Linked DNA regions of Arabidopsis thaliana. The gene in region 1 interacts genetically with each later gene. Each region holds a gene or a part of one and is shown on either strand. Other genes may lie near its edges. The genes, in order: CB5-B and ETR1.

Region 1 (5,581 bases):
CGAATCCAAGCCTTTACATTACATGAGTAAAAGAACATAATCATGTCCAGGAAGAAGTTAGATACAATTACTCATTCATAATCTATAAAGATCACTACAGAACTTGCTAAAGCTAGTCATGTAAAATAAAAAACTTTACTTTTCTTATCCTACCCATTGAATCTGCATCGCCACAAACTATCAATCCCTCACTCAAAATTTTGAACTTTAATACCCAAATCGAGAAGACCTACACACAACCACAGCTCAAACAATCCAAATCCCACAATCTTCTCTAGAATATCCCGAATAAAAAAACAGATCAAGTGAGAGAACAAAACCCTAAATCTCAAACCGGAAAAAAAGGGTTTAAAAGAGAATTACATGATGGGGACACTAGTGGAGATCTCAGGCCAGAATTGGTCAACCAAATTGTTGAGGTTAGAGAGCGCATGAAGCTTCAAAACAGGATGAGGCTCGTTGAGCATTGCTAGTAATCCTCCAGCGGAACTAACCATGGGTGTCGCCATTGATGGAGAACACTAAATCGAAATCGAAATAAACCCTAAGAGAAAGCTAATCAGATGACGAAAGATTCGAACTTTCGATGAGACTCGTCTTGAATCTCTCTACTGGATTTGAAGAAGAGTGTTTTCCTTATTTATTTTAGTTTATAGGACGAAAGTAAAAATAAAAGGAGATTTGGGAGAAGATAGTAAGTCAGGGACTTGGATGCAAACTACGAATATTTAGAGACTTACCCAACAAGTCAGGATATTAAAAACTGCCCCGAATGTATAGCTTTATTATGATTTTAGTCTCAAGTTTTGTGTTATTGAGTTATGGATCCAATATATTTTGAAGATTTACAAAAACTCCTTATTGCTTTTACAAAATTGGTTGGTCATACAATTTTAAGTTTTAGGAGCTTTTAGGATACCCTAATTGCTAAATTATCATCATATCATATCAATAAAATGTGTTGCAATTCAGAACATAATACAAAGCTTTATAGAGATATGCAAGGCATCATAGAGAAATTAATAAACTTACAGTCGGTTAATCAAATTTTATAAACAAAATTATCATAAATCGATTCAGCTCATTACACGAAATGGTAAGCGTAAACTATGATGATGGTGTGGTCGACCATTAGCTCGATTATGTAACAAAGTCATCTAGTTATTTAGCTTATAAATCATTTCAAGATGTAATTCAAAAACATATGCATTCAATTTTTTTTTTAGTTATCTGTTTATCGTATCAGAAGTTCAATGAAAATAGTGTATGAACAAACAAACACGATTTTAGTTATTTATATTTATTGTTCATTTTAAAATTATATATATATTAGTTTTTTTTAATGTGTAAATTGTATTTAATATTTTCAAAGCAACAATTTTTAGTATTGAAAAAGATTTGGTGGTCCTAAAAGTATAACTTTTTCTTTTAATAACATTATTTGGTACTAAAAAACATAAAGAAAATGATGGTTCTAATCTTTTGGTTAACCTGCTTGTTTTTCTCTAGAGAACATGGCTAATGTATTTTTTTCATTGTCGATGGTTCAAATTTGAAACTTCTCAGACCTCTTTTCGTTTACAAGGTCAGAAATTCACCGGTCAATCTATTGATTTTGAATAATATGTACATTTTATATAAGCTTTAGAAAGAAAAAGATTTGTGTCCCTAATAAATAAGGTCAGTTGGTATGAAGCAGCGGCAATTTATTTTTCTTATGTAGTTGTATCTACTAATATAAAACTACATAAATATTACTTATGAGAAAAGAATTCATATGTACCATAATAAAATTTATTGCACATCATTCACCTACCGATCTTGAATGAAAAAGGCAGAATTAGAGCGCACAACCGCAACATTTGCACTGCCTACCTACCTACCCCATCCACTCAACCGGAAATAACAACTACTACCAAACCACTTAACCCATCGGTTCAACATTGGCACATATGTTTTCAAAATCGTACAGATGAATACCATAAGGCCAAAACAGTAGAGCAGCAATTAGGTACAGACTATGTGAGAACAAACTCAAAATCAATTTTCATTAAACCGGTTTTCAAAGCTTCCAAAACTCACCAACCGATTACTTTGAGAACGAACCAAATTAAACCGGAATTTAACTGATTCGTCAAATGGTCTTTAACTCAACAACTCTCTCTCACACTCTTGTATAAAGTTTTGAGCTTTAAGTCTCAGAGTCAGGTTTTGGTGGGTTAATTCTGGTAGACAAGAATCAAACAAACAATGGGAGACGAAGCAAAGATCTTCACTCTTTCAGAAGTTTCAGAGCATAATCAAGCTCATGACTGTTGGATTGTCATCAATGGAAAGGTTTCATTCTTCTTTCTCCTTATTCTCACCTCTGAAATTAGAGATCTCGTGCTTCAAAGTTTCCCCTTTTGGTGTTTGCATGAGATTAAGCTTTTGAAGTCTCAGATTTCTAAGTCTAAAATTATCAGATCAAATCTTTAGATGGGTAGAGAGAGTAGAAAATGGTGTAGTTATTAAGCTTATGCTGAAGATTTAGCTCTTTTGATCTATTTATCAGCTGAAAATTTTCTAATTTTGATTGAAGATGGAGAAATGTAGAAATAGTTCTTATTGTCTTTAGAGTTTGTTTGATCGACATCAACCTTTCTTGGGATGGACTACTGACACTTGTCGATTAGTTGTTTGCCCTGAAGATCGATCGTTTTTGTATTGTGATTATTAACTTGTGAAGGAATCTGTAGATACATCCTTGAGCCTCCCTTCATAGTGAACTTGATTTTTGTTTTCTTCATTGATTGGTTTGTGAAATCAGTAGATTATCACAAGAAAGTAGGAAACATTAAATGTTTTGGTCTGTTGTTCCATCAGTAGTTTATGTTTCTTATTAATATTGTCACTTAAGTTCATTTTTTTTGGGAGTTTACCTCTGTGCAACAAGTTTGCTATGTACACAGAACAATCCTTTTTATCAAGTTCAGAAGATCCCAAATGTATCTCTGGACTTGGTTGTTGGTACAGTAATTTGTTTCAAGTATTCATCTTTCTATTCCTATTGTTTGATTTTTAGAGTTATATGCACCATATCTTGTTTAGTCCAAAGAAAGCGATAACCTAAGAACTTTTCTTTTTGTTGCTCCATTGTTTCTTACATTTTAATCATAAGCCTCAGAAGTGGATCTTCCCATGTTTTAAACTTCTTGATTTGACAAGAAATCTTCAAAGTTCAGAAGTTCTGTAATTGGGTTTCATTTGCCTCTCCTAACTTCACACATTTGCAAAAAAATGCAGGTGTACAATGTGACCAAGTTTCTTGAAGACCATCCAGGTGGGGACGATGTTCTCTTGTCTTCAACAGGTCTGTATAAACACAACTATCACCATGCTCCCGGCTTAGTGGAGATCAATCCATCGGTTTTTGATTCTTATTCTCTTTTCAGGTAAGGATGCAACGGATGATTTTGAGGACGTGGGTCACAGCGAGAGTGCAAGAGAAATGATGGAGCAGTACTACGTAGGAGAGATTGATCCAACAACAATACCAAAGAAAGTCAAATACACACCTCCTAAACAGCCTCACTACAATCAAGACAAGACCTCTGAATTCATAATCAAGCTCCTCCAGTTCCTCGTACCCCTTGCCATTCTTGGTTTAGCAGTCGGAATCCGTATCTACACCAAATCAGGGTAGGCTTCTTTTTTTTCTGAGCATTACTTCCTTATATCTTATATATAGAGAGAAAGATTCAAGTCTTTTGAAAAGACAAATCTGAAAGTCTCTCCCTTTGTTATTGTCTCTTCCCATATTTTGCTGTTTGAATGTATTTTGGATAATTTCTTATCTATTGTGGTGTAACTGCATATAAACAACAGTCTTGTTGGTGTTTTTGCCTTATGCAACTAATGAACATCTCATCTATATTTCAGATTCTGAAACCGAAGTTATGACTAATAAGTGATCTGTTTTGAAAGTCTGGTTTAGTATTGTTTGAGATCTGTAGAAGAAAAGTAACCAAGGAACTATCAAAACAAGGCCATGATCTTACTAATTGAATGCTTAAGAGAACACTTAATTAACTTTGAGAAAAGGAGAAACAAAAACAACAGATTACGAATTCCAAAGAGAAAGAGACGTTTGTTTTGGCAGTTACTTGATAGAGTGTGTGGCAGTTAGTGACTTGAGCTCACAAAAACATATCCACACGAAGAATCCAAAAACTCTTCTGCAACTGTAGGACCCTCTTTTTGTACCTCTTTACCGCTTTGGCCGCAAGAAGTCGCAACCGCAGACACAAAGTTCGATACTTGTAACTTCGAGAGCAATAAATTTCATTTAAGTAAAGATTGGAATGGATTCTGTGGCAAGTTGACAACTATGGACTGTTTCATTCAAAACGTTGTCGTGTGTAGACTCAAATCAATACAATCAGAAAACGAATCTTATGACAAGCAAAGACGCGACGAAGTTTCGATGATTGATCAAAAGACGATCACCATAATGATGATGATGATGATGATATGTAGTGAGTGGGTACGAATTACATATTTAAGATAATATAGTGGGCACAAATCTCACAGAGTGGAAAGTACAATGGACTCACACAAGAGCAAGAGAAAGAGAAAGAGAATCTTTTTCTAACACTTTTGATTTTAGTGAGAAGACAGAGACAAAACAAAGACCACTATGAGACACTATCCATATCCATAACGAACAGCTTCTCTGTCTCTCTATTATCAGTATACAATTGTGTATATATAGACATGTATTACCTACCTGTCATTGTGATGTTATATGTCTGAAGAACACAACACATGGACCATAATGATGATGATGATAAGAACAAGAACTTAAGATGAAGAGAACAAAAAAGAGAAGGATAAGTCTTTATTGAAAAGAGTTTGAGATCAGTACATGTATACACATAAAAGGATAGATTTTTTAAAATGGTTACAGGACAAAGAGTTTTAAGAGAATGCAGAGTCCCCCTGTACCGGAATTCATAAAAGAAAACACTGACCCTTAAACCGAAAGAACTCTAAACCCTAAACGCTAAACCCTAAACAGACTTTGGGTTACTTCTAAAAACCTTCTCTTATGGCTTTAGTACTACTACTAAGGTGATCTGTATAGGCTTAAAAAGGATTGGTATCAAGTTCTGTTACACAAACCCTTTTCAGCCACTTATGTTACAGACACCAATTTAAAAACACTACATGGGTTTTTTCTCCTAAGCTCTTTACATGTTGAAAAAGTTAAGAAAACGGATGATGGTAATAAGATCAAACCGATAATTAGCAGGAAAATGTTAATATATTCTGTATTAACTATTAACCCCCCATTTTTTTGTTGTTTCTAATCATCTACCTTCGTCCATTCAAACCGTCCTGGTAGTGGTTGTTCGTTCACAGGATCAAAGTTGTACCTGAAGAAAGAGTTGACAGAAACCATTAGAGACACAAGACCAAAAGAGAAGAACAGAACAAACTGGAAACTCATAACCAAAAGAACAGAACAGATGAAACGAGGAAACACATACTTCTCAATGAATTGCTTCTGTTGTTCTTCTTCAGCACCCGAGAAAAACTC
Region 2 (6,172 bases), on another chromosome or scaffold:
ATTCACAATCACTGAAGGTAAACATCTCTTACCACAAATCCTATCTAACAAATCAACAACTTCTTTCAATCTCCCTTCTTTACACAACACTTGAATCATTATCCGAATCGTAATCTCGTTCGGATAAATCCTTTTATCAATCGCACATTCGTAAATCCTCCACACAAGATCATCAATCTTCGATTTCGAAGAGTAATGAATCAACGTGTTTAAAGTAATCACACTAAGAGTAAATCCACAATCACACAATCTCTTGAACACATCAAACCCTAATTCCAAATACCTAATCTTAGCGTAACATTGAACTAACAAATCAAACACTAAAGGAGTAGAAGATGAGATCTCATAAGTATCTAACAACGAATCGACTAAATCCGAATCGGGAGGAGAATTTAACAGAGACGATTCAATTAAAGCTCGAGCGTCGATTAGTAATCGAGCTTTGACAAGGATATGAATCGTCAATGCGTAAGATTTGATTCCGTGACGGAGATTTCGAGTGTGGGATGACCAATGGAAGAAGGATAAAGCTTGTTTGGCGGTTTCGGGGTTTTTGAATCGGAGAAGGATTGTTTCGATTAAGGAATCTGATAGATCTATGGAGGAGAATTTGGTGGAGAGAGTTTCCCAGGTATCGTTGGATTGGAGGGATTTGGAGATGTAGTCGATGAGGATTTGTTGTTGTTTGTTTGGATTTGGATTAGTTTTGGAGGAGAAGGAGAAGAAGCCATGGATGAGTTTTGGAGATCGGGTTGATTGAGAAACTAAGTAACGCCATTGTTGTTGTTCTACTAAGCGGCGCAAAGCTGACGCCATAATACTGCATCAATGTCATACATGCACGCAACAAGCATCCATAACTCGATCCAAATTCTTATAAGAATGTAACTACATATATAAGGATACAACATTAGTCAAACATGTAATCTGAAATGGTATGATTATACCACCACCATCTTGTTCCTCTATAACCGAAATCGCCACGGACACATACCGGTTTAGAGTTTCTATTTTGTTATTCCCTTTCTGTTTTAAGATATCATCCAAAACGCTCCGACAATCTCTGATATGTACACAATTAAACCAGAGAACATCAGCTTCCGATGTTTTACGGGAGAAGAAGGCGGGAGCGGAATTACTCCTCTGGGGCATGGGGCATCCATCGCCTTTACATGCCCTCGTACAGTACCCGGGGCTCGAGAAGATCAGACAGAACATCTCTTATGTTGTCTAGTGATACGGGTTTGAGCAACACACCGTCTAGACCAAAGCTCATGCATTTCTCTTTTGTGGATTTGTCAGTGTTACCACTGAGTGCCACAAGTAGTGGCCGTTGGTGGCGTTGTTTTGTGAATTTCTCGTGAATACGGAGAGCGATTTGGTAGTTTTCGACCCCGGGCATGCACACGTCCATGAAGACCACTTTGTGCTCATGGGACACAACTCGGAGACACTCCTCGTTTGAACTCACCGTGGTCACTTCGCACCCAAGGTGTACAAGAAGTCCCTTCGTCACCATTCTACTTACCCTGCAACCAAAATAATCATCGGTTTCTCATAAGATTAAATTTGCGTTTTTTCTAAACGCCAATATCTGCATTTGCAAGAAGTAAGGCGAGAGATTTTGCAAAGAGAAAGGTGAGAAGCTTATACTAACCCGTTCTCATCCATGACAAGAACCTTAAGTCCAGTGAAATTTGAATGTCGGGGAATGGCTGGAACTTTCGGTATGCCCGACTGTTTAGATTCGTTTGAACGTTCTGAGATCCCAAGTTTAACATCAAAGATAGCCGTGCATCCTTTTCCAAGACCATCGCTCTCAATCCAAATGTTACCCTCCATCAGATTCACAAACCTTGTCATATTAAACGCTTATGAGTAAACTTTTAACAACACAGAAGACAAGAAAAAGTTGGAAAAAAACGTCTTTTAATAAGGCTCAAACCTCTTGGAGATGGCGAGGCCAAGCCCACTACCACCCGAGCTTCTCGTCGCTAAAGATTGTGTTTGAGCAAATTTAGTGAAAATCTTTGGAATGTCTTGAGGATTTATTCCTGCTCCAGAGTCTTTTACCTATATTTGAATAATCATCAAAATTAAGACCTAAGAAATACTTTCAGCTATGGTATAAGATCCCAAGATACAAGATAATAACCTTCACTCTCAAGTAGAAATGACTCCCAGTTGGCACGACAAAAAAGTCAGCAGCTCGTGTGTCTGACTTGGTGACAAGAGCGGTTACGGAGATACTACCTTGTTTGGAGAATTTCACAGCATTACCAACTATATTTAATATTATCTGCATTAGCCGTTTCTCATCCCCAACAACAAATTCTGGCAAATCTGGTGCAAGATTTAGTGTGATGGGTAATTTCTTAACAACCGCTATAGGCTTTATCAGATTGAGGACCTGCAACAAGATTCAATATGACAATCAAGTACACAAATAGTATAAACTTATGAAACATAGAGCTGTTCAAAAGTTACCTCTCTAAATAATGTATGAAGATTGAATGTCCCAAGTTCAAGTTGAAGACTTCCATCTTCTAACCTTGAAAGATCTAAGACATCATTCATCAAAGTTGCCAAAAGGTTACTACTTTTAAGTATTGTTTCCACCATCAGTCTTTGTTCAGGGGTTAGTTCCGTTTCTTGGAGTAAGGAAGAGAGTGCAATAATCGCATGCATCGGTGTTCGCATTTCATGGTTCATAACCGCTAGGAAATCATTGCGGGCACGGATTGCTGTTTCTGCTTCTCGTCTAGCTAGATCAAGAGCAACATTCTGCTCCATGAGAAGGTCCCTAGCTCGCATCGACTCTTCTAGGATCGCAGCATGTGAGAGAGCTACAGCCACCTATAATAAGAGAAGAAAAGTTATAGACAAGATCATGAACATAGCAAAGAAGAGAAATTCTCAGCAATGTAAAACCTGATCAGCGACGACTTCAACGAGTTCCAACTCATGGACATGCCATTGCCTTGCACTATCTGAAGGAAGCATCAAAACCATCAAAGCATATCTCTTTGTTGAAAGCTCAGGCCAGTCATTAATCTGAAAATTAGAAAGGTGGAGAAGCGGAACCCTCACAGCGACCACCTCCCCTAGCATATATTTCCCAGAAACAGGTCTCAACCTAGCCACAGGAGAATTAGGAGATATTTTTACAGCCCTACTAGTACCAAACACTTGGTTAATCACCGGTAATTGAATAGGAACCGTATACTCCACGGGATGTTGATGACGAAGTGTATAAGAAAGCTGTAGCTCTAACCCAGTTCTAGTAGGCATCCACAATGCACACTCCTCCAAAGCTAATGTCCTACCAAGCTCAACAAGTGTAGTCTTTAAAATAGTATGTCTATCTAAAGTGCTTCTAATCTCATGAGTCAACATTCTCACATGCCTTCCGGTTTCTTCCTGAGTTCGAATCAATCCCATTTCTCTATCGAGCTCAGCAGCTTTATTTTTCAAGAAAAGCTCCCGAGTCTTAACACTCAAAAGATCAGGAATAATATGAACAAGCATCAACGCAGTAGCACACGAGACAACAGCGGTTAACACCTTCGCGGTAGTCATCACAAGCGCCACGGTTCTCGAATGCGTAGTGAAAGTCCATAAGTTAATAAGATGAGTTGCTCCACAAAGAACGATAAAAGCACCAAACTGAACAAGTACCCATCTATACGGAAACACGGCTGATTTCTTCACAAAGTAAATCAACTCAAGAGGAATCGAAAAATACGCAATCGCAATGAAGAAATCGGAGATGTATTGGTATTTCATTAACAATTCATCCGCTGGCCATTGCGGTTCAATACAATTGCAGACTTCCATTATGAATTTTTTACACTATAGTTCCTCTCTCACACATACACACACCTGTGTAACAAACACATAGCATTATCAACTTCGATTTACGACGAGAACGTAGCGTAGACAGATCATGAGCATCAAAATTGCTATAAATTCTGAAGAATCGAATTCGATCACAACGATTACGAAAAAATAGGTTGCATATTTCAGTCTCGAGAACAGTAAAATTCGAATCCGAATCATGAAATTAACGATTAAATCTTAATTTAAAGTTCCTAATAACGATGCATTACACTAGATAAAGACCAATTAGGTTAATCAATCTCTATGATTTGAGATCGACGACAACAACAGAAGAAAACTGTGGAAGTGAAGAATATATATAAAGAAGTCACGAAACAATCTGAGGAGAGAATCGAGGAAGAAGAAGCTTACTTGGGAAGAATTGATCGGAGAAGAGGAGGAATTGGGGATTTGGGACGCGGCGGAGAGCGACGGAGAAGGAGAAAAGGGGAGCGTTGAAGCTTTTTTTCAAGTCAAAATTGGTTGGGTTTAACACTTCTTCTTCGTTCTTACTTTTTTTTTCGACGTCATTTCTCTAATTTTTTTGTTATTATTATCAGATGTTTTTTTTTAATAAAAAAGGGTAATATAGCTGGTGGGTGCATGAATTTGTTCATTCAAATATCTTATGATAGTGTAATGACGTAATGTAGATAAAGGAATAGAGTAAAAATGGTAAGAAAAATACAGATAATATAGGATAAATATCCCCATATTTATCAACAAATACTATCTTTATGGTTTCACCAAAAAATGCAAAATATTGTTTTCACTAACTTTCACCTTACATTGATTCGTATGATTTCAAAAAAGGAGAATGATAATGTCATTTGGAGATTAAGCAATATATATGTTTAGCCAATATAAAATTATGAGTTTTAAGTGTAATCTTATGTAAATAATCGTTTGTATAAAACATTATATAGTTGTAAGAGAAGTAAAACAAGTTGAATCAAACAAATATGTTCATGTGAATAAAAGCTATATTATGTCAACTTGGAGATATATCAAACTACTAATGTTATATCTGGTTAACTGTAATATATCTCCAAATTGACATAATATAGGTTTTCAGTACCTCAAAACTAAATCAGAGTTAACCAGAAATTTGATCCTAAACCAAAAGTATATTAAGCAATTATATAAAATTATTACATTAGTTTTTTTTGAAATCAATCCTCCGAAAAATGTACATAAGACCTTAACCAGTCAAATCAAAATCCAAACAAAACTAAATTTCATCGATTCAATTCTCAACCAACGTTTATGTCTCATATATACTAGTGTTGATTACTTCAAACTTACAATATGGAATCTTAATATATACCTTCAAGATGATGGCTCTAATCAGCCTATCTCGAACTGAATCTCATTTTAAGATCAGTATTAAATCTCAACACACGAAATTTTGATACATACAGTAAAACCTCTATAAATTAATACTCGATAAATTAATAATCTCTATAAATTAATAAATTTTTTCGGTCCCGAGTTGGAACCACTGTAAAAAGTGATACAAATCGATAAATTAATAAGATAATAGTTTTTTTGAAAATCTTATATAAACATAGGGTCCCATTAATATCATAAATTACAGAGAAATATAATTTTAATATTGTTTTTTTTTTACTTAAATTTGTATAAGTTTTTTTTTATTTCATTTTAATATTTTTACTCTATCAAAAACTTTTCTTGTTGTTTTCTAGACATGATAATTATTTCTATTTGTAATTGGTTCTAAAAATATATTTTAGATAATGGAATGAATCTTAAATTTTTATAGAAATTAAAAAAAAAATTACCACTTTTGGAAAATCTCTCTGTAAATTAATAAATATTAATTTATCGATAAATTAATACCTTTATAAATTAATAGAATTTTGTGGTCTCAACATTATTAATTTATAGAGATTTTACTGTATTAAATTTTATGGATTTCCAAATTAAATCTAATTAATAATAAATAGATTGGTGTATATTCTTTATATATAAGTGTTGGTCCTTCAATTTAAAATAAGAATAAAAATCGCAATACCAAAATATATGGATTGAACCAAATTGATATTAAGGGAAAGAGTGGGGCCAATACTATAATGACCAGAGAATCGAAATAGAAAGAAAACTTAGGACATGGTTGGCTCACACTGGTCCACAAGTAACTCTTGTGGTTACAATTTTCACTTCTAATCCCATAATTCTCCTTCTTTGTCCTCTTCTTTCTCCCTAAAATCCTAAATCCTTCTTTGGATTACTCTTCTTCTTCATTTCTTCCCACAAGGTTAGTCTCTCTTCT

What was found.
Region 2: of CB5-B (region 1) and ETR1, changing one suppresses a phenotype caused by changing the other (phenotypic suppression), as found in Arabidopsis thaliana (one study listed by BioGRID).

What each region holds. Positions count from the first base shown.
Region 1 is NC_003071.7:13,875,117-13,880,697, reverse strand, and holds CB5-B (cytochrome B5), read left to right. Parts: upstream 1-1,987; 5' UTR 1,988-2,250; coding exon 2,251-2,337; intron 2,338-2,339; exon of another isoform or gene 2,340-2,941; coding exon of another isoform or gene 2,942-3,028; intron 3,029-3,285; coding exon 3,286-3,352; intron 3,353-3,434; coding exon 3,435-3,685; 3' UTR 3,686-4,886; downstream 4,887-5,581. Other genes in the region: AT2G32730 (26S proteasome regulatory complex, non-ATPase subcomplex, Rpn2/Psmd1 subunit), read right to left, coding at 364-509; AT2G32710 (Cyclin-dependent kinase inhibitor family protein), read right to left, coding at 5,348-5,417, 5,532-5,581. UniProt on the Arabidopsis thaliana protein: Membrane bound hemoprotein which function as an electron carrier for several membrane bound oxygenases, including fatty acid desaturases.
Region 2 is NC_003070.9:24,732,363-24,738,534, reverse strand, and holds ETR1 (Signal transduction histidine kinase, hybrid-type, ethylene sensor), read right to left. Parts: upstream 4,374-6,172; 5' UTR 4,252-4,373; intron 3,883-4,251; 5' UTR 3,838-3,882; coding exon 2,932-3,837; intron 2,857-2,931; coding exon 2,488-2,856; intron 2,411-2,487; coding exon 2,156-2,410; intron 2,074-2,155; coding exon 1,946-2,073; intron 1,856-1,945; coding exon 1,658-1,855; intron 1,530-1,657; coding exon 1,169-1,529; 3' UTR 817-1,168; downstream 1-816. Other genes in the region: AT1G66345 (Pentatricopeptide repeat (PPR) superfamily protein), read right to left, coding at 1-816. UniProt on the Arabidopsis thaliana protein: Ethylene receptor related to bacterial two-component regulators. Acts as a redundant negative regulator of ethylene signaling.